Arabidopsis thaliana: one gene and its partners. The protein of the gene in region 1 interacts with the protein of each later gene in a pairwise test. Each region holds a gene or a part of one and is shown on either strand. Other genes may lie near its edges.

The links.
Region 2: the proteins of CUL4 (region 1) and RBX1 interact in binary tests that used the Arabidopsis thaliana proteins (3 or more experiments, as listed by UniProt).
Region 3: the proteins of CUL4 (region 1) and CAND1 interact in a two-hybrid assay, tested with the Arabidopsis thaliana proteins (one study listed by BioGRID).
Region 4: the proteins of CUL4 (region 1) and FUS9 interact in binary tests that used the Arabidopsis thaliana proteins (3 or more experiments, as listed by UniProt).

Annotation. Positions count from the first base shown.
Region 1 is NC_003076.8:18,730,841-18,738,542, reverse strand, and holds CUL4 (cullin4), read left to right. Parts: upstream 1-1,727; 5' UTR 1,728-1,889; coding exon 1,890-2,136; intron 2,137-2,616; coding exon 2,617-2,732; intron 2,733-2,817; coding exon 2,818-3,164; intron 3,165-3,441; coding exon 3,442-3,622; intron 3,623-3,712; coding exon 3,713-3,835; intron 3,836-3,923; coding exon 3,924-4,211; intron 4,212-4,580; coding exon 4,581-4,706; intron 4,707-4,844; coding exon 4,845-4,946; intron 4,947-5,047; coding exon 5,048-5,101; intron 5,102-5,349; coding exon 5,350-5,456; intron 5,457-5,552; coding exon 5,553-5,613; intron 5,614-5,706; coding exon 5,707-5,838; intron 5,839-5,936; coding exon 5,937-6,074; intron 6,075-6,190; coding exon 6,191-6,271; intron 6,272-6,382; coding exon 6,383-6,463; intron 6,464-6,588; coding exon 6,589-6,669; intron 6,670-6,860; coding exon 6,861-6,974; 3' UTR 6,975-7,172; downstream 7,173-7,702. UniProt on the Arabidopsis thaliana protein: Component of the CUL4-RBX1-CDD (COP10-DDB1a-DET1) E3 ubiquitin-protein ligase complex which mediates the ubiquitination and subsequent proteasomal degradation of target proteins. Participates in the CDD complex to light-mediated control of development.
Region 2 is NC_003076.8:6,956,122-6,960,098, reverse strand, and holds RBX1 (RING-box 1), read left to right. Parts: upstream 1-1,787; 5' UTR 1,788-1,877; coding exon 1,878-2,013; coding exon of another isoform or gene 2,014-2,067; intron 2,068-2,140; coding exon 2,141-2,191; intron 2,192-2,285; coding exon 2,286-2,345; intron 2,346-2,758; coding exon 2,759-2,830; intron 2,831-3,003; coding exon 3,004-3,075; intron 3,076-3,156; coding exon 3,157-3,194; 3' UTR 3,195-3,439; downstream 3,440-3,977. Other genes in the region: AT5G20580 (TMEM192 family protein), read left to right, coding at 24-108, 290-349, 503-562, 727-819, 1,004-1,066, 1,220-1,309; AT5G20560 (Glycosyl hydrolase superfamily protein), read right to left, coding at 3,718-3,977. UniProt on the Arabidopsis thaliana protein: Component of the SCF (SKP1-CUL1-F-box protein) E3 ubiquitin ligase complex, which mediates the ubiquitination and subsequent proteasomal degradation of target proteins.
Region 3 is NC_003071.7:688,168-692,814, forward strand, and holds the start of CAND1 (cullin-associated and neddylation dissociated), read left to right. Parts: upstream 1-1,616; 5' UTR 1,617-1,768; intron 1,769-2,144; 5' UTR 2,145-2,177; coding exon 2,178-2,213; intron 2,214-2,295; coding exon 2,296-2,471; intron 2,472-2,571; coding exon 2,572-2,779; intron 2,780-3,068; coding exon 3,069-3,234; intron 3,235-3,512; coding exon 3,513-3,642; intron 3,643-3,827; coding exon 3,828-3,942; intron 3,943-4,154; coding exon 4,155-4,312; intron 4,313-4,399; coding exon 4,400-4,523; intron 4,524-4,647. Other genes in the region: AT2G02550 (PIN domain-like family protein), read left to right, coding at 430-597. UniProt on the Arabidopsis thaliana protein: Key assembly factor of SCF (SKP1-CUL1-F-box protein) E3 ubiquitin ligase complexes that promotes the exchange of the substrate-recognition F-box subunit in SCF complexes, thereby playing a key role in the cellular repertoire of SCF complexes.
Region 4 is NC_003074.8:4,422,705-4,426,549, reverse strand, and holds FUS9 (Ubiquitin-conjugating enzyme family protein), read left to right. Parts: upstream 1-1,655; 5' UTR 1,656-1,752; coding exon 1,753-1,981; intron 1,982-2,081; coding exon 2,082-2,155; intron 2,156-2,512; coding exon 2,513-2,660; coding exon of another isoform or gene 2,661-2,722; exon of another isoform or gene 2,723-2,883; coding exon 2,884-2,981; 3' UTR 2,982-3,313; downstream 3,314-3,845. Other genes in the region: AT3G13560 (O-Glycosyl hydrolases family 17 protein), read left to right, coding at 1-677, 782-809, 895-1,066. UniProt on the Arabidopsis thaliana protein: Component of light signal transduction machinery. Involved in repression of photomorphogenesis in darkness by participating in the CDD complex, a complex probably required to regulate the activity of ubiquitin conjugating enzymes (E2s).

The DNA of each region.
Region 1 (7,702 bases):
TTATTTTTACTTTTATATCTCAGCATGACTACCGATTAGAATATATAAATGGTGAAACAGAAGCGGTTTTAATCCGCAATCTTATTAATCAGTGTTCCATGTACAAACCATTCAAAGCTAAAATTGTTCAATTGTTTGTTTTATGTCAAGCTTACAATTTTTCAATAACTCCTCATTTTCACATGTTTGCATGTGAAAATATTGATCCAACGATCCAAGAGACTTACAATTTGCTATTATTAGTATCAATTGGGATTAATTGAGAAATTCTATAGTCTTGAAACATGAATAAAGAAAAAATAAATGTGTTGACATGTTAATGAGGGATTAAAGAAATAAAAAAAAATTATTAGTAAGTTTAAGCGAGGTGAGAATGTAATGAACACCATTTTGTATTAGTAATTATACAATTCCATAGGCTAATCAACATGTAATAAAAAGTTTTAAGACCATGCAGTCGTTGAGGCTGTGGCTGTAATAATATTCATCCTTGCAATTGCGACTTAAAAACCAGCCATGTTTTTTGGCCCAAGAACCCTCACTAATCAAAACACATTCGCACAACAGCACAAGTTATATGAGTTCGCCAATTGGTACGTCTCGGTAACACTTGTAAGACCATCTCCATCGGAATATCTGATTGAGATACTCATCAATTAAATAATAATTAAAAAGAGAAAAAGTATGAGAGAAGAAGAGAAAAGTGGAGAAACTGGCAAGAGAGACTATTCTCAGCATTTATTGAGAGTTGTCATTCAATTAATAGTTCATTTACTTCAAACTAATTAAAATATATTAATTTGATTAAAATATTAATTTATTTACTTTTTGAGATACTCTCTACCACTTTTGCCGATGGAGATGCTCTAACAATCTCATCTCGTCTCTTATCTGCTTGATAGGCTTCGGTTAAACCTTTGTAATCAGGCCCAAAGTATTAACTCCTGTAAATAATTTGATAAGCCCATATTTTGTAATCAGAACCAAACCCTAAACCGGAAGTCCAAAAACCCTGTGGAGCAGCAAGTCAACACGCCCCACATTGGCTAATCCATGACATCGATCATATTATATTTATTCATATTGTCAAGTGATGATTCTTCGTTCATGTCTTTTAACATCACACAATTTTCTGCCTGAAATTACCGACTGCTAAAAGTATTTAATCATCTCTATTTTTATCTCCATTCTCCACGTTATAGGTGAGTCTATTTTATAGGCATTTTATTCTAATATATTCTTTTAAAATAGTTTTTTTTAAAAAATAAAAGAAATATATGGAAAAAAAATCAACTCAATTTTCTTTAAAATAAAAATAAAAATATATATCAAAAATGATCTAAATATCAAGCATCGACTCGTGTGATCGATTCTTTATTCTTTAAATCGTAAAATGACTTAATAAAAATTCGACTCTAAAAATATACAATAGATATGATTTATCAGTTGTCAAAAACTAAAAATAAAAAGTAGTTAAAATTTAAAAGTAGTTATAAAAAATAACCATACAAAACAGGCAACAATTGATTATTATTTTTTATTTTTTTGTTTTTCACTTTTGTGATTAGTAACCATTAAAACAACGCACATCTAATCATTGCGGTATATGTCTATTTTTATCAATAATATTTTTTTTATCATATAGTAATTATGATTTATGAATGTATAAATAAAATAATTCTGATTTTATTCAGAGTATATAAATAAACAAAAAATCTTCATTTCTCGGGTCGGGTCTAAATCGCGAGTTTTCGCGTAGGTTTGAGCAAAAAAAAAAAGAGAGAGAGTGCACAGTGCGCTTTTGGTAGAGAGAAAGGGTTGTTATTATTTAGGATTGATGTCTTCTTCTTCCTCTTCGTGATTCTCTCACACAATTTTCACCCATTTTCATGTCTCTTCCTACCAAACGCTCTACTTTCTCCGCCGCTTCTGCCTCCGACGACTCTTCTTACTCTTCTCCTCCGATGAAAAAGGCCAAAAACGACCTCCACCATTCCCCTCAACACCCTAATACCGCCGACAAGGTTGTTGGCTTTCATATGGAGGAAGATCCAACTCCCGCCGCCGCTAATCTCTCTCGGAAGAAAGCTACACTTCCGCAACCTACTAAGAAGTTTGTAATCAAGCTCAATAAAGGTTTCGCTCGATTTCGATTTCTTTCATCTTTACGATTTTGATCGTAATCTTAGGATTTGATTTGGGTCTTTTACTCTACTGTGCAATTGATGCTCTGGATTGATTTGAAATGATACAATTGTTAAGGTTCGTGATTTTTAGGGTTTTCATTGGCTTGCGATTGATGGAAGTTTTGTGTGAGTTTTGATGTTAAATTACAGTGGAAAATTGAGTGTGACTGTTGAATTTTGATGTGAATGAGTGATTTGGGTTTTTGTATTTCTTCTAAGTTGGAATCTCTTTGTCTAGCCTGATCTAGGTACTTAAGATCCGGAATCTTTGTTGTGCACAATCTAGTTGGCTTAGCTCTCACCAAACCTAATTTGTGCCATTAGAAAACATCTTGAGAATCATCTTTACTGTGACTGGCTAGCAAATTGAAGATAAAAGTGTTTTCATAATTAGGGTTCTGATTGTACCATTTGTATTATATATGTGAAGCCAAACCAACTCTACCAACAAACTTTGAGGAGAATACATGGGAGAAGTTGCAGTCAGCTATCAGAGCTATATTCCTCAAAAAAAAAATTTCGTTTGACCTCGAGAGCCTTTACCAGGTTAGGTTACGTGCAAATTTACTTACTTCCTTTCTTATTCGTATGTGTAAATGTCGTGCTGATGAGATTGTGATTGTTTTTTCAGGCTGTTGATAACCTTTGCTTGCATAAGTTGGATGGAAAGCTTTATGACCAGATTGAGAAGGAGTGTGAAGAACACATCTCTGCAGCTTTGCAATCTTTAGTTGGGCAGAACACTGATCTGACTGTTTTCTTGTCACGTGTTGAGAAATGCTGGCAAGACTTTTGTGACCAGATGCTCATGATTCGTAGTATAGCCTTGACTCTGGATAGGAAGTATGTGATACAGAATCCAAATGTACGTTCATTATGGGAGATGGGTTTGCAGCTTTTCCGGAAGCATCTTTCTCTGGCCCCTGAAGTTGAGCAGAGGACGGTTAAAGGTCTCTTAAGTATGATTGAAAAAGAAAGGTAAATTTTTAACCTTCTGGTCTTCCAAAATTAAACGAGGGTTGATTTATCACATTGAGAATATAATTTCATAAAGCCACTTTACCTCAACTTATTTTTCTGGCTTTTGAGTGAATATGGTAAGTTTGGATGGTCTATGAACTATTCCTGTCTAGCAGTGATAACTTGTTATAGGTAAAATTTCAAGGCAAATCAGGACTAGTGTATGTCATTTATATATTGGATAATGTTTTCATCTGAATCTGCTGAACTTTCTTGCATGATATTGGTCCTGCAGGTTAGCAGAAGCTGTTAATAGGACTCTACTAAGCCATCTTTTGAAGATGTTTACTGCACTGGGAATTTATATGGAAAGCTTTGAGAAACCTTTCCTTGAAGGGACCTCTGAATTTTATGCCGCTGAAGGAATGAAATACATGCAGCAGTCTGACGTTCCGGAGTACCTGAAGCATGTTGAGGTGCCTTGCATGACTTCATATAGTTTCCTTATGATTAGCTGCACTACAGGTTAATAGTCTTTCTAAGGTTTCTACTGGTGATTGGTGCAGGGAAGGTTGCATGAAGAGAATGAGAGATGCATACTCTACATAGATGCAGTAACCAGGAAACCATTGATCACAACTGTTGAAAGGCAACTTCTCGAACGTCATATACTTGTTGTTCTTGAAAAGGTTCCAATCTCCTATTATTCTTGTGTTGGCTTGCATATTATCCAATTTTAGTTTGTCGTAGTCTTACTTTATTTCTGAACATCTTCAGGGTTTTACAACATTAATGGATGGACGTCGTACGGAGGACCTTCAGAGGATGCAAACCTTGTTTTCTAGGGTCAATGCACTTGAGTCTCTGAGGCAGGCGCTAAGTTCATATGTTCGGAAAACTGGGCAGAAGATTGTTATGGATGAAGAGAAAGACAAAGATATGGTACAATCACTGTTGGACTTCAAGGCTTCTCTTGACATAATATGGGAAGAGAGCTTTTACAAGAACGAATCATTTGGTAACACAATCAAAGATTCGTTTGAGCATCTGATTAATCTTCGACAGGTATCAAATAGTGATTTTCTTGATTATTGCCTGAGTCTCTTGCTAATAATTTTACTTTCATGTAAAAGCAACATACTGATTATTGTGGAAATGTCAACCTTAAATTACAATTGTGAAATCGAGAAATTTATATTTTATAATAATCTATAGATTTCGTTACTGATTAAGCACTGTATTGCTATGATTTGGAGACATCTTTGGGCAGTGAATACTATTTTCAAACATAATTTTGAGATCAAGCTTCTTGTGGGCACTGGACCTGATCACAGTAGTGTTGTTTGCTAATATATATCACTTTGGATACCAAATACTCTGATTTAGCAAGCATCCCAAATAATATACATCTTATGCTGATAATCTTTTTTACAGAACCGGCCAGCTGAGCTTATTGCCAAGTTTTTGGACGAGAAACTCCGTGCTGGGAATAAGGGTACTTCTGAAGAAGAATTGGAGAGTGTTCTTGAAAAAGTCTTGGTTTTGTTCAGATTTATCCAGGTTATCTCTAATTTCTTACATTTAGTACTGTGTTTGTCACTGTAAATCACTGCTTCGAGGCCAGTGCATGGTCTGTAAACCAGCTATTTGATCTTCTGGATATCGGTTTTGCTGATGGATTTTTATTATTTATCAAAGGGTAAAGATGTGTTCGAAGCATTTTACAAAAAGGATCTTGCGAAGAGACTCCTGTTGGGAAAGAGTGCTTCAATCGATGCTGAGAAATCCATGATCTCTAAGGTTAAAAACTGATTTATATTCTGGGTGTTTCCCTTTCCCACAATTTGTTTTCTATATCTGTAGTTCTCACCCACTGATCCCAACCTTGGTTTTACCTACAGCTTAAGACTGAGTGTGGTAGCCAGTTTACAAACAAGCTCGAAGGGATGTTCAAGGTATCCTTTCTTCTCCTTCTCTATATTCAAAAAAGATGTTGGTCGTTTAAGTTTTACTAAGGAACAAACTTAATGATCTTATATTTTGTTACGTTTTACGATATACCCCGGTATACATATTCATTGTTAATCCAATCTAAGACAGGATTGGCGGATGATCCTGCTCCATACTTATTTTAATGAACTTGTGTACATTTACAATAATCCTAATGAGCTTGAACTCTCCGTTTTATTGAAATTTTCTCCAGGATATTGAATTGTCAAAGGAAATCAACGAGTCATTCAAACAATCTTCCCAGGCCAGAACAAAACTGCCATCGGGAATTGAGATGAGTGTCCACGTTTTAACAACAGGGTATGTACAATGTATCAATTTTATCCAGGATATAACTGCTGGAATGCGGATATCATGACATATATAAAGCTTGTTAACTTCCCGTCTATAATACAGGTACTGGCCAACATATCCGCCTATGGATGTTAAGCTTCCTCATGAACTAAATGTCTATCAGGTTTTACTAAAAGTTCTTCTTATGTATTTTTTTTTGTTTCCTCGTTGGACGTTTTCTTACAAGCTTTTTCTAAGCTATCTGTATGTTTCGTAGGATATCTTCAAAGAGTTCTATTTAAGCAAGTACAGTGGTAGGAGGTTAATGTGGCAAAATTCATTAGGCCACTGTGTTTTAAAGGCAGATTTCTCCAAAGGTAAAAAGGAGCTGGCTGTTTCCCTGTTTCAGGTCAGTCAAATTTTTTTTCCCCCCCCCCCCCTTTTAAGCTCTTTCCTGTCTTCCCGAGGTTACAGTGTTAATCAATTGCTCTTTTCTTTTTGTCTCAGGCTGTTGTGTTAATGTTATTTAACGATGCAATGAAACTTAGCTTTGAAGACATTAAAGATTCCACCAGCATAGAGGACAAGGAGCTGAGGAGGACTTTGCAGTCGCTTGCTTGTGGGAAAGTCCGTGTCCTGCAGAAGGTTTGGCCAAAATCTGGACTCTGTTAACTCTCTTTTCAGCTAATGCAGAAACTGCCGAGATTATGGCTTTGCCTTTTTCCATAAGGATAAGCCTTATTGTGTAAATATTTTTGCAGAATCCTAAGGGAAGAGATGTAGAAGACGGTGATGAATTTGAATTTAATGATGAGTTTGCAGCTCCGCTGTATCGCATTAAGGTACGTTGGTTTTTTTCTTGGTCTCTTCACTTAAAGTATCCTAGAATCTTGTGATACTGTTTTGTATGTAGCTTATAGTGAAGCAATTCTTTCTTTTGTTCCTGGGTGCAGGTAAATGCGATCCAGATGAAAGAGACAGTAGAGGAGAACACAAGTACAACGGAAAGAGTATTCCAGGACCGACAATACCAGGTTGGTTTCTGCTCTCCATTTTCCTTTACGATACTAATTTCTGAAATCGTTCTTACAACTTTGGCTTCTTAAACAAGAAAAGATTTTGACAAAATGGTTTTCCCCATCACACCCTTCTCTTACAGATCGATGCAGCCATTGTTCGTATTATGAAGACAAGAAAAGTCTTGAGCCATACTCTTCTAATCACTGAGCTCTTCCAACAGGTAAATTTCACTCCTGCTTGATGATTTTAAAATCCGAAATAACATGTCGGTTTATGAAAAAAGAAAGCATGAAATTCGTTACTAGGTCCAGTCCTATTGGTAATATACTCGTGATGATGATTAGAGTTCTCAGTAGTCTACTAAATTTAATATACCATTGCTATGAATGGATATATGTTTGTGATTTGCAGCTCAAATTCCCGATAAAGCCTGCTGATCTGAAGAAGAGGATTGAGAGCTTGATCGATCGAGAATATTTGGAGAGGGAAAAAAGCAACCCTCAGATATACAATTATCTTGCTTAGAATCTCTTTGGTAAACACACCTTTTGAATATTTTCCTTTTTGTATATTTATTGACAAACAAACGATGACCGAAATTTTCTTATCAGTTTGAAAAAAAAAAAGAACTCTCGATATTCCAATCATCTCTATTCTCGCTGTTCCGCCCGTTCTTATGTACAGCCTTAAGTTCTATTTCTTACTTTGATTCACTTTTCCTCGGTTCTCACTTTTTTTTTTTTTTTGAACATACTTTCTTGGGACTTCTTTGTTTTCAGATTTTTATACAACTTAAAAGATGTTTTTGTTTCCCTACAAAAATAACTGATTTGTTTTAAAAAAATTCAAACTTCCAATAAAGTTCCTAAGATAGGTTATATATCTTCGAGGGTTTTCTATGTGCTGATTCCATTTTGTTTTCGTTTTTGAGTTTTATTTGAATGGAGATAGTTCTTAGAGCTTTTTCTTCGTTTTTAGGCAATTAAATCTTAAGTTTAATCGGATTTTTTTTTACACTACATTATAGGCATTTCTGTTTTTACCACTACCAAATAACTAAAGAAAGAACAGAGAGAATCAAATTGCTTACTTGATGAACGTCCCTAACGACATTTAACTATGGCTGATCAATATTGTACGCAACTGAAAGACAATTGAATAAAATTCATACTACGGTTTGTGAAATAGTTAAATGTATCTACACGTACATTTAAGAAAAATGGAAATATATTGACTCATCGTCCAACTGCTTC
Region 2 (3,977 bases), about 12 Mb from region 1:
CGTTTTTTTTGCTTGAAACACAGATACCATGAAGCCGGTCGCCTTTCTGATCAACAAATGGCTCTACTGCAATATCAACGCGAGAATCTCCATTATCTCAGTGAAGAGGTGACAATCCATGGAATATTTATCATGAGTACTTCATTTCTGAATCTTGATGCTTGTGATGTTTCTTACTAGTAATTCTAAGTTCAATGCTCTCTCTAGCTCTTCATTGTCTACCCTAATTTTCTGAATTTTCCCATGCTTTCGTTAGAGTGAGTCTCTGACCTCTCTTGTTTTGTTTCAGATTCTGCGTTTGCAGGAGTCCTTAAGTAAATATGAAACGAATGGTAGTAGCACGCCTCAGGTTTGAACTGCTCCATTCTGAATTTTTGACTTCTTTTTATCAGCGTGTACACATTCTAACAACATTCTTAATAAATTTTCTTAAAAGTAATGTATAACTTTTTCCTTCCACTGGGATTTTAATTTTTGCATTTGATAAATGTTAAACTTTCAGGTTGATCTGGCGCATCTTGTGGCAACTCGAGATCAGGAATTACGAACACTATCTGCTGAGGTAAAGCTCGGTTAACAAATGATAAACTTGCAAATTCCCATGGTTAATTTTTCTTTCTCATCTCTCTTTTACCCATTTGGTGGAAAACATATCATAGTTGATTGACATTTCAAGGCTAGTATCCTTGATGTAGCATCTTTAAATGAAAATTGTGTGTCTTGCAGGTGGATCAACTCCATTCAGAGCTTAATCTCGCTCGATCTCTGATCTCTGAGAGAGATAGAGAGATACAACACGTCCGGAATACCAATAATCAGGTTCGAGTCTATCTATAAACATAAGAACATATGAGAACAAAACATACTTTCACAGCATCACATCATGTTTATCATCAACACAGCTTTACCATGAATTGTTTTTGCATCAAACAATTTGCAAGGGCTACACATTTTTTCTGATCCCTGAACTCATCATCTTTTGTTTTTGAAACTCCTGAAACAGTATGTAGCAGAAAATGAAAGGTTAAGAGCTATTCTTGGAGAATGGAGTATGCGAGCTGCAAAGGTACAATCTTCTCTTCTCTCTCTCTCTCTTCATTGTATGTTTTAGAGATGCAGCAATATGATAGTGAAAAATCTTAAGCCAATATCGAGTTTATCGAATTCAAACCCTTTTGTTTACTATGAGAGGCTAAACCAAAACCAACGGATTGTGTAGCTTGAACGAGCTCTGGAGGTGGAGAGAATATCAAATATTGAACTGCGGAAGAAAGTTTCAGCTCTCAGAGACCAGAGGCAGGTGGCATGAAGCATATACATCATCTAACTATATGCAACTCTTATGGCTTGTAGAAAAATATCTTGACACTATTTTCTAACATCTTGATGCATTGAATACGCTAAGCTTTTATGATGTAATGATTTTCCAGTTAATTTGAACTAAGCGTATGTAATGATTAGTTAATTAGTCATATAGTTATTGTAAATCTTCTGGGAATAGTTAGAAAAAAATATATATATATGTTTTTTTTATTATATAAAATAGATATTTTCCGTAATCTTTTTGCTTAAAAATATTTAATTTATCAATTAAATAAATAAAAATCGTTGGGATAATAAAGGAAAAATTAAAATATTTATGTAAATCGTAGGATGAGTAAGATTAAAAAAAGGAAACCTTAAACCGAATTATGGAAATTTACGGGAATCTAATTCCGACGAAAGCCCACTATACAGGCAAAGCCCAAAGCTGCTTTATATATCTCTCTTCTTCTTCCTCTACAATCTCTCTCTACAACAAAATCAGCGACAGCTCAAACGTTGATATTTTTCTCCGGCTTTTCTAGGGTTTAAATTTTCTTTCCGATCAGAGATTAATGGCGACTCTAGACTCCGACGTTACCATGATTCCTGCCGGAGAAGCCTCCAGCAGCGTAGCCGCGTCGTCTTCCAACAAGAAAGCTAAGCGATTCGAAATTAAGAAGTGGAGCGCCGTTGCTCTCTGGGCTTGGGGTAACCTCGAAAATCCTTATACACTATCTTCAATTGGTCTTTCGATGTTTCGATGTTTGTGTTACGATGTTAATTTTTGGTTAGGTTAAGAGTTTTATTGATTGATTGATCTTTGTTTTGGTTGCAGATATCGTTGTTGACAACTGTGCGATCTGCAGAAACCACATCATGGATCTTTGTAAGTCTTAAAACAATCGATTGATTTTGGAATTTGTAACGATGATGTTGAATGTTTATGCTTATTTCGTTTTTGTGTTTTGGTTTGTTGTTAGGTATCGAGTGTCAGGCTAATCAGGCCAGTGCCACAAGTGAAGAGTGCACTGTAGCTTGGGGTAAGCATTTTTCTTCTTCTATGATCATGATCTCAATCGTTGCTTTTTGTTTGGAAACTTGATTTGGTTTATAATTGTAGCTATCGTAATTGTGAATCTAGAAACACAAAACTGTATGCGAAAGTGTTGTGTGAAACAATTTTAGTATCTCTGAGTGCGTGTTTTAAAACTTGACATTGAATTTTACTTATGTGGTAGTATCACTCTGATAGATGTCTTTGCTTTATTTGAGAGCAGACCCTGTTCCTTGTTTTGCAGCAATCTAGATTGGTCGATGAGTAGTACAGTTGATTAGATTTATGGAGTTTTAAAGATTTTCTGAGAGAGAGAGAGACCAAATTGTAGTTATTGTGTTTACATGCTTTCATAGTCTTGCAGTTGATTGTACGATTGATGATGAATTAAAAACTCAGAGGACGACCAAAATAACTGCAATAAGTATTTCTGTATTCTTGATTGCTCAATGAAAGATGACCACTTGGAGGGTGAATCTTGTTAGCTAGGAAGTATTAGAGAAAGTAGGAAGTATTCCTTTAAGATGTATGTGATTGTGTGATGACCTTTTCGAATCTTTTTTCTATAATGTGACAACTCAAGTGGATATACATAAATTATTTAGTGCCTTCCCTAACGAAAGATACTCAATATGTACTTGCAGGGGTTTGCAATCACGCCTTCCACTTTCACTGCATCAGCAGATGGCTAAAGACTCGTCAAGTTTGTCCATTGGGTATGTGTTTCTTGGTTTTAAGCTTCTTGACTAGTATGCAGTTTTTGTTTGTTTGCTAATATTGCTGAGTTGTTTCAACAGATAACAGTGAGTGGGAGTTTCAGAAATATGGTCACTAAATCAACAAATGGTTCCAGCAAGCATGTGTCTAATCGTGAAGACATCAGGTTCATTTGGTTACCACCGCATATGATAACTAAAGATTGTTCAAGTTTTTGCCCTTTTTTTGGTACTGTATTTTACAATTTGTGGAAACAGAGATTTACTGTTCAGTGTTCACTAAACCTATTATGGTTGTGCTTTGGGTGACGTCTTTGATTTCAAAATTAAAAAGTAAAAATCCTGCAAAGAGTTTTTTACTCGTAAAAAAACATAGGAGCTGGGTACCAAACGCTCTTTTGATCCTCAATTGTGTTTTCCTTCAATTTAGTAGTTCCAAATACTAAAGTGAAATTTCTAATAAGGCTAACTCGAAACCCACTTAGATTATAAACCATAAGTTTTATTAAATGGGTCTTTCAACCCCTAAACAAACAATACTAGAGCATTATTTTGACAACACAGATTCTTAAGAGAAACAGTAAAAACTGACCACTTGAACACAACATCGAGGATCAGAAGAGCGTGTACATGGGCGTCGTCTCAGTAAGGATCGTATAACCCAAAATGCTGATAGATTCCAACTGGCTTCTGGTTCTCATTGTACGTCTCAAATATATACGCATCAATTCTACTATTTGGCCTCTTAGGCGTTCCTTTACCACTTGCAACATGCTTCACAAAGTTACCAATGTACGTATATTGAAGAGCCGGTGTCGTCATGCCTCCATTCCCGGCAGAGGGCCACCCGGTCTCCGACACCACCAAAGGTAAACCTTTCACTCCCTCTTTCTCCATTGCCC
Region 3 (4,647 bases), on another chromosome or scaffold:
TTTGAATTGCTTGAACTCGAAATGATAGACTTATTGAAGCGGTTTCATAGTAGCAAGAAAAATAAAGACAACGAAAAAGAAACTAAAGAAGAAGCAAAATCTTACGATTTTTCAGAATTCACAGACGATAATTTTCTGGAGATGTGCATTCTTTGCGATTGTGACTATTTTAAATGGCCATTAACGGAGGGATCCGAAAGAGCATATGAAATAATTGGTACTAAAACTATACGTGGTAGAGAGGTACTTTTTACTTGGTTTAGTTCAAAATAGTAGTATACTATACATTTAGATTTTGTATTTGCATGTATGATGACATGATGTGTGTTATTCATTTTCTTTCAGGTAATAGAGGAACTACTAGAGGACAGCACTGACCTAACTTCTCATCTGAAAAAATTCATAATTTTGTTGCTTTTCAAATATTAGTATGTCTATAATCAAGTAATTGAAGAGCTTCAACACTTGAATGTGCCTGAGGTGTCTAACCTTCCATTCTTGCGTGACCGTGAGTCTGGCGATGAATTTGTCATTCGAAAGTATGAAGATTCTACGGGCACATATTTGTCAACAACTAAGACTAAGGAAATAGCATAAGGAAGACTTAATCCTGAAACCCACGAAAAATTTACACACGTGGAAGTGGAAGAAACAGATGACGAAGAAACTACTTAGACAAAAGTATCTAATAATTTGAATTTCGAAGTTCTAGTTCAAAATAAAGGAAGTCTAATTTCGACAAAAAATCTCACATCTATACCATATTTTACGGTTTTAGTTTTTTTTAGTCGTTAGCAACAATGACAATCAGTTATATTTTGTTAACTTTATAATCGTTAGCGATGACTATCGACAATGAAATCATGTTTATTTGGTAGTCGTTGGGTCGGGAACATTTAACAAATGATTTTGATTCAATTTTTTTTTTTTCTTATAAACCTTATCGGCTGATCTGGTTAGCCCTAGTAAAAACACACCGAAATGTTTTCGAGTGGACTTCTTCCCGAAAAACCACCATACTGTCTGTCTGTCACGAGTTTGAAATGCTTTCTGACTAATGCCAGGGGGTAGTCAGGCGGCCGCCTACATTTCTAATTACCAAGTAAACCAATTAAACCAAGACCCAACTTATACACTTACCAACTTTCAAGGAGAATCGAACTCGGGTCTAAGAGTTTCATCCTTCCCAAAGCTTCCCCTACCACTAAACCACATATACTTGGCCTAGGTTGAAAACTTTCAGTGATACAATTTTTTACTTGCTAATCGTTCAAAAATATTGACCATAAATTGTCGATGAACCAATGGCTAACACTATTTAGTTGGTTGGTCGCAATCGCATAGCATGTCCCTGACACAAAAAAAGCAAACAAAAAAAGAACTACTTGGATCAAACAAAGAAACCCATGCTTGGGCTCAGACTGAAAACAAAGTAATTGGGCCAAACCCATTTAGTATTAACCGACTAATCAAGTCCAACAATGTACAGCATGAAATAAACGCTACCCATTAACCGACTCAAATCGCACCAAGTCAGGCCCAATTAATCCTACACAGGCCCATTTAGAAGAAAGTTAACTTCCTCCTTAAGAAGAGAGAAGGGCTAAAAATCAAGCTTTCACGAGTACGGAAATTTACAGTATCTCCTCCATCTTTTTTTACTTTCCTCAGAGCTCTCTCCTCTCCGCAACTTCCACCACCACCAAATCGGAACTCTCGGCGTTCTACTCCGTCTCCGGCGTTACCTCCGTCGATTTCATCTTCTCAGGTTACTTAGGGTTACCTCTTTTTTGCTTTTTGATCGATAAAGTGTGATGATGTCTAGCGTTAACTCTTTTCGTCTTCGTAGTCGTAGTCTTAGGGTTTTGGTGGCGACGATACTTTGATTTATCAAACCGAACTTCTTCTTTGTGATCTTCGATGAATCAAAAGTTTTCTAAGGGATATTAATTAGGTTTTGTTACCGGCGATAATTAATCCATCTTCGATGCTTCTTCTTTACACTTCTGACTTTGTTTCTGATGTTTTAACCTCTGTGGAGAGCTTGATAGAGTGACATTGCTCTGACTAAGCGTTTTAGTTCAACGCATGGTTGATTCTCTTTTTACTAAGTAATGAATTTTGAGATCCTTGTTTGATTGCAGTTGGAAGGAGTGAATTGAGAAGGTCGGGCCAATATGGCGAACTTACAAGTTTCTGGGATACTCGAAAAGGTCTTTTCATCATCTGTTTCTAATTAAGCTTAATTTTGTTTTTGAGTATAGTCACCTTTTCTCATTGCTGTATTTACTATAGTTTCAGATGACGGGTAAAGATAAAGATTACAGATACATGGCAACCTCTGATTTGCTTAATGAGTTGAATAAGGATTCCTTTAAAATCGACCTGGACTTGGAGGTGAGATTGTCGAGTATCATATTGCAACAGCTCGATGATGTGGCTGGTGATGTTTCTGGATTGGCTGTTAAATGGTTAGCTTTCTGCTCTTAGCAACTTATGACCTAAGCTGATGTTATACTTTTACATTTAGCTGATCTATCGTCGACCTTTGATGTTATGATTTTGTTCCAGTCTTGCTCCATTGGTGAAGAAGGTTGGAGAAGAACGAATTGTTGAAATGACCAACAAGTTATGTGATAAACTGCTGCATGGGAAAGACCAGCATCGTGATACCGCAAGCATAGCTCTCAGGACTGTTGTCGCTCAAATTGCTCCTACGCTTGCTCCATCTATTCTTGTTACTCTAACACCACAAATGATAGGAGGAATAAGTGGCCAGGTTAGTTGTTGGGAGGTCTATTCCTTATTATTTCGATTGCATATGCGACAGTGCTTAGGGTCGTCCTAGACAATTTCGGATCCCATCAAAATCATATTGATTGACATCTATTGGAAAATTAGTTGATTTTACGTTTTAAGTTTTATTGGATCTAATACAGTTAAAGAACTCTGTCTGAAAAACTCTTAGTAGACCAGAGCACAGTATATGCATATAATTATTTGTCTACTCTAAGGTTCTATCATCTTATTTTACAAGTAACTAATTTTCTGCGTATTTACTGCTGAAGGGAATGAGCTCAGGGATCAAGTGTGAATGTCTTGAGATCATGTGTGATGTTGTTCAAAAATATGGAAGTTTAATGACGGATGATCACGAGAAGCTATTGAATACATTGTTATTGCAATTGGGCTGTAACCAAGCCACAGTCAGGAAGAAGACTGTTACATGCATTGGTAAGTTCATAAAATTGAGTCAATATGATTGCTGGGTACTGTCGGTACTAATGTCAATATTTAGCTAATTTGAAACCAACTTTAATCTGCCGAGACTTGAGTGGTAGCTTTCCTTATCTATATTAGAAATATGGTTTTCAGCTGTTTGCGTCAATTCTTGTGAAACCGATGCTAGTTCAAATGATATATTCAATGTCATTTTTTTCCTAGTCGTATATAGAACTCTTAATTCGATGGTATATAGCCTCTTCTAAGTTCAAAATTTTGTGTGGTGTCAGCTTCTCTTGCTTCCAGTCTGTCTGATGATTTGCTCGCGAAGGCGACTGTTGAAGTTGTGAAAAATCTAAGTAACAGGAATGCAAAATCGGAGATTACACGTACCAATATTCAAATGATTGGAGCTTTATGGTACTTCCTATCTTCCTTCTTATCGGCTTGTTATATATCTTTAACTTCTTACCATACGTTACTGTAGTGTTGTAGTATGCTTCGGTTAGTTGTACTTGTGCTACCTATTTATTGATTGGGATGAATGGTTATCTACGACTAGGCTTGCCATGGTTGTAATGCTATTTAATGCGTTTTTGTTTCAGCCGTGCTGTTGGTTACCGGTTTGGCACTCATCTAGGTAACACTGTGCCAGTATTAATCAATTACTGCACTAGCGCTTCAGAAAATGACGAGGAGCTTCGCGAGTATAGCTTACAGGTATCGTGCAAGATTCCCTAATGTTCCTACTTTCTCACTACGCTTGCATTTTTTGTTTTCTCATCTAATTTTTGTAATCAGACAATTACTTAGGCGTGCTTGTAGTCTCTTTTCTTTCCTATGCTATTAAATTGGAATTCTAATCTTAGGTTCAATAAAATTGGTATGAACAATGTAGACGATAACATGTCTGTTCTGAAATTTGACTGCAGGCACTTGAAAGTTTCTTGCTACGATGTCCCAGGGACATCTCACCATATTGTGATGAAATTTTAAATCTTACTTTAGAATATATTAGTTATGACCCGAATTTTACGGACAATATGGAGGAAGATACTGATAATGAGACTCTTGAAGATGAAGAAGATGAGTAAGTTCTGATTTATTCATTGGAACAGTAGCCTAGCTCCTTACGGTGCACCATTATCTCACTGAAATAAGTCTTTCTTTCTCACAGCGAGAGTGCAAATGAGTACACAGATGATGAAGATGCCAGCTGGAAAGTTAGGAGAGCAGCGGCCAAATGCCTAGCAGGATTAATCGTTTCGCGTTCTGAGATGCTCACTAAAGTATATCAAGAGGTATATCTTTTTTAAATGATCAAGCGTATTATCTTTCATGACGGGAGTGTACAAGATTCCCTTACACAAGAGTTTTTCATTCTTTTACCTGTGTTTGATTAAATATGAAACAAGAATCTACTAT
Region 4 (3,845 bases), on another chromosome or scaffold:
TGATTACGCTTTGTTCAAGCAGCTTTCTCCGGTGAAGCAGATTGTTGATCCCAACACGCTTTTACATTACAACAGCATGTTTGATGCTATGGTTGATGCTGCTTACTACTCCATGGAAGCTTTGAATTTCTCCAAGATTCCTGTTGTAGTCACGGAAACAGGCTGGCCTTCGTCTGGTGGAAGCGATGAAGCGGCTGCAACAGTCGCTAATGCGGAGACATTCAACACTAACTTGATCAAGAGAGTGCTGAACAACTCAGGTCCTCCTAGTCAACCAGACATACCGATAAACACTTACATCTACGAGCTGTACAATGAAGACAAGCGGTCAGGACCAGTCTCTGAAAGAAACTGGGGGATTTTGTTTCCAAATGGGACCTCGGTTTACCCTCTGAGTTTGAGTGGTGGCTCTAGCTCCGCAGCTCTAAACGGTTCATCGATGTTCTGCGTGGCTAAAGCAGATGCTGATGATGATAAGTTGGTTGACGGTTTGAATTGGGCGTGTGGTCAAGGCCGAGCTAACTGCGCTGCCATTCAACCGGGCCAACCTTGCTACCTCCCTAACGATGTTAAGAGCCATGCTTCTTTTGCTTTCAATGACTATTACCAGAAGATGAAAAGTGCAGGTGGAACTTGTGACTTTGATGGTACGGCTATCACTACGACTAGAGATCCTAGTAAGTTTTTCTCATTTCCTCTGATCTATGTGTTGCAATAATTCTATGTTTTCAAGTTGTTTCCTCAGAGTAAATCTCAAATTCGATGGCTTGTGTGTTTGCAGGCTATAGAACATGTGCATATACGGGAAGGTAACGATACTAAATTTATGTCTTGTTAAGTTTTGAAAATGAAATCTGCTCCTAACTCTTTGAAATCATTTTCCATTTATCTCAGCTTAAACGCAAACGCTACTAATGGAAACTTTCCTCCGGATGCGTTAGGACCCGCAAGTCCATTGGGAGGAAACGCAAACGCACGTATCATCTTTAGCTACCATCTTCCCATATTGGCACCGTTAGCTCTCACTCTACTACAACTGTTGCTTCAGCATGACCGCCTTTTGTAGAACGTTTGCCAAAAAGCGGTTTTGTAGTAACCGGGGAAGTCTACCTGTGGCTTGGATTGGATTTCTTACGGTTACCGGTAGTTACTGTGTACTTTGTTTTTAGTGTAAGTGTAACTAGAGACTAAAGAGGGCTCACAAGTTCCCATTCTTTTTTTTGTCTTCATCTTTGAACTAAAATATTCGAATTAGAGTGATTTAAATTTCATATTCAAATGAATCAGTGCATTGTAGGAGAGTTTACGTAAATCATGTTATTCATAAAAATTGACAGAGTAAATTTGATTATGTTTAAACAAAAATTAAATTGATTTTGGATAATTTCAATTTTCTTTCCAAAATGTGTGCCTTTTTCAAGAACTTTGAATAATCATTTATCAAATTATTAAGGATTCACGTGGTTATAACATGATCACATTACACAAAAGGACAAGAATATTCGATAATTCAACTTAAATAAATTTGGTTGTCAAAATGATTACAAATTTATTGATAGTGATTAGTGAGAGAAAATAAAAATAAAAAATACATGTTACAAAATTAATCTCCACGTCAGCGATTACTTTATTTGTTTAATTGATCGGACAAAAACGCGGCGTTTCGAAATCTTTTCCCGATGGAGTGCGAGCGAAACGATCAAGTGGTGGATTGGATAAGCAGAGAGTATCGGAAGACGACGACGACGGGAGATGATGACACCTGGCGGAAGCGGGAGGTTGAGACCGTTACCGACGGCGATGTACGCCGGATATTCAGGAACGGCGTCGTCTTGGGTAGCGAAGACTTCAGTTTCTGCGTCAGGGAAGAGGATACAGAGGGAGATGGCTGAGCTTAACATTGATCCACCTCCTGATTGCTCAGCTGGTCCAAAAGGAGATAATCTCTACCATTGGATCGCCACCATCATTGGTCCTTCGGGTTTAATTCTGATACTCTCTTTGAATATTTGTAGATAATCCGATTGAAAATTTGTTAGGTTTTCAAGTCTTTGAATTTGGTGTTTATGGAACTTTTGCAGGAACTCCCTATGAAGGAGGGATCTTTTTCCTGGATATAATTTTCCCATCTGATTATCCATTCAAGCCACCTAAGGTATGATCATGGATTCTTTGGTTAACACATTTTGGGAGCTTTACTGATTTAGCTGGTAATGATTTAAGGTTTAGAAGTTTTGATTTCTAATGATGATCTCTTTAGGAAGAACTATTTAGTGAATATCAATGAGTCTTCAACTGCATCACATTGAAACAGAGATCATCTAGTGTCTCAGACTCTCAGTGTCTAGCATATTATGTAGTTTTATTGCTTTCAACATAGTCTTAGGATACATTTTGTAGCAAATTTCTTGAAGTTTTGGGTCTAGTGATAGTCAAGCTATAGGTACTAATCTAGAGCTTGCACTTTTATTACATCTGTCTTTTTGGTTAAGTTGGTGAGGTTGATTTGCAGTTGGTGTTCAAGACTCGGATTTACCATTGCAATGTTGATACTGCGGGAGATTTAAGTGTGAACATTCTAAGAGATAGTTGGAGTCCAGCCCTTACAATCACTAAAGTCTTACAAGCCATCAGATCTATCTTCTTAAAACCTGAACCCTGTAAGTTTCTATTCTACTCTCAGGCTTCAGATCAGACCATTTCAAGTCCTCTGATGAAATGACCAGCTCATGTCAGATCTACCTAAGAGAACGTTTTTAAAAAAAAGTTTGTGATGAGTTTTGGCCAACAAACATAATAGATGTCCGCATCTAACTACTGTATTTAACTTCCATAGTAAATCTCTATTGTTCTTATTCTTTTTGCTTCTTCTTCATCGACCAGATAGTCCAGCTTTACCGGTGATTGCACGGCTCTACTTGACAGATAGAGAAAAGCATGACGAGGTAGCCAAAGAATGGACATTGCGATTTGCCAAGTGAGATCTTCAATACGAGGAAAAGACAACTGATGTATTATAAATACACCTAGTTCTTTGGTTAGTTAATGGTCATCAATGTACATTCATAAAAGTGGAACCACAATGTTAGATGGCCAAGAAAATTGTTTGCTCAGATAATAGGCAACAATGTGAGGTAGGACCAATCCTCAACAACTCCAATTTATTGAAGGTTATACAATTTAGTGTCAAATCTTTTCGTCAAGGACTCGAAAACCAAAGATCATATATGGTCTGAATATAACTGAGGAATTGTTTCTTTTATAAGAAAACAAGAGCATTTTGTTTTGAAACAAGAATAGTAGGCCATAACTTCTAGAGAAAAGCGATTACAGATGAGATAATTAAACTGAAGAGTATTAGTTGGTACCTAACATGTTCCATAATCTTTATTGATTGATTATCTCCAAAAAGAAAGATCAAACTTTCTATTGAAGACACAAGTGAGACTTGAGAGACCAAATCTACCGGTCAATTCTTTTCGTTCTTTTAACCTAACTCTGTTTAACATAATTATCACAAATGGTCAGTACATATCTATCTACGCATGGTATATATAGAGAATATGTAGAACAGCAGTGTTAAAAAAGAGTAACATATTTTGAGTCTCTGCGACTAATATCTTCATATCGGTACGTTGTAATATTTATCCGTTAATTATACGTGTGTTAGATGTGTTAGTGTATATGCAGATGAATATGTCATTTTATGCATCACATGTATATACTCAATTTGTTTATCTTATTTTTTTATTTAATGTTCCCCTTCGTTGGCATCATATATATTTCTCTTGAAGTTTTGAGTAAAACCTCTAGAGATGTTGGAAGATATATCCAGTATATCGACT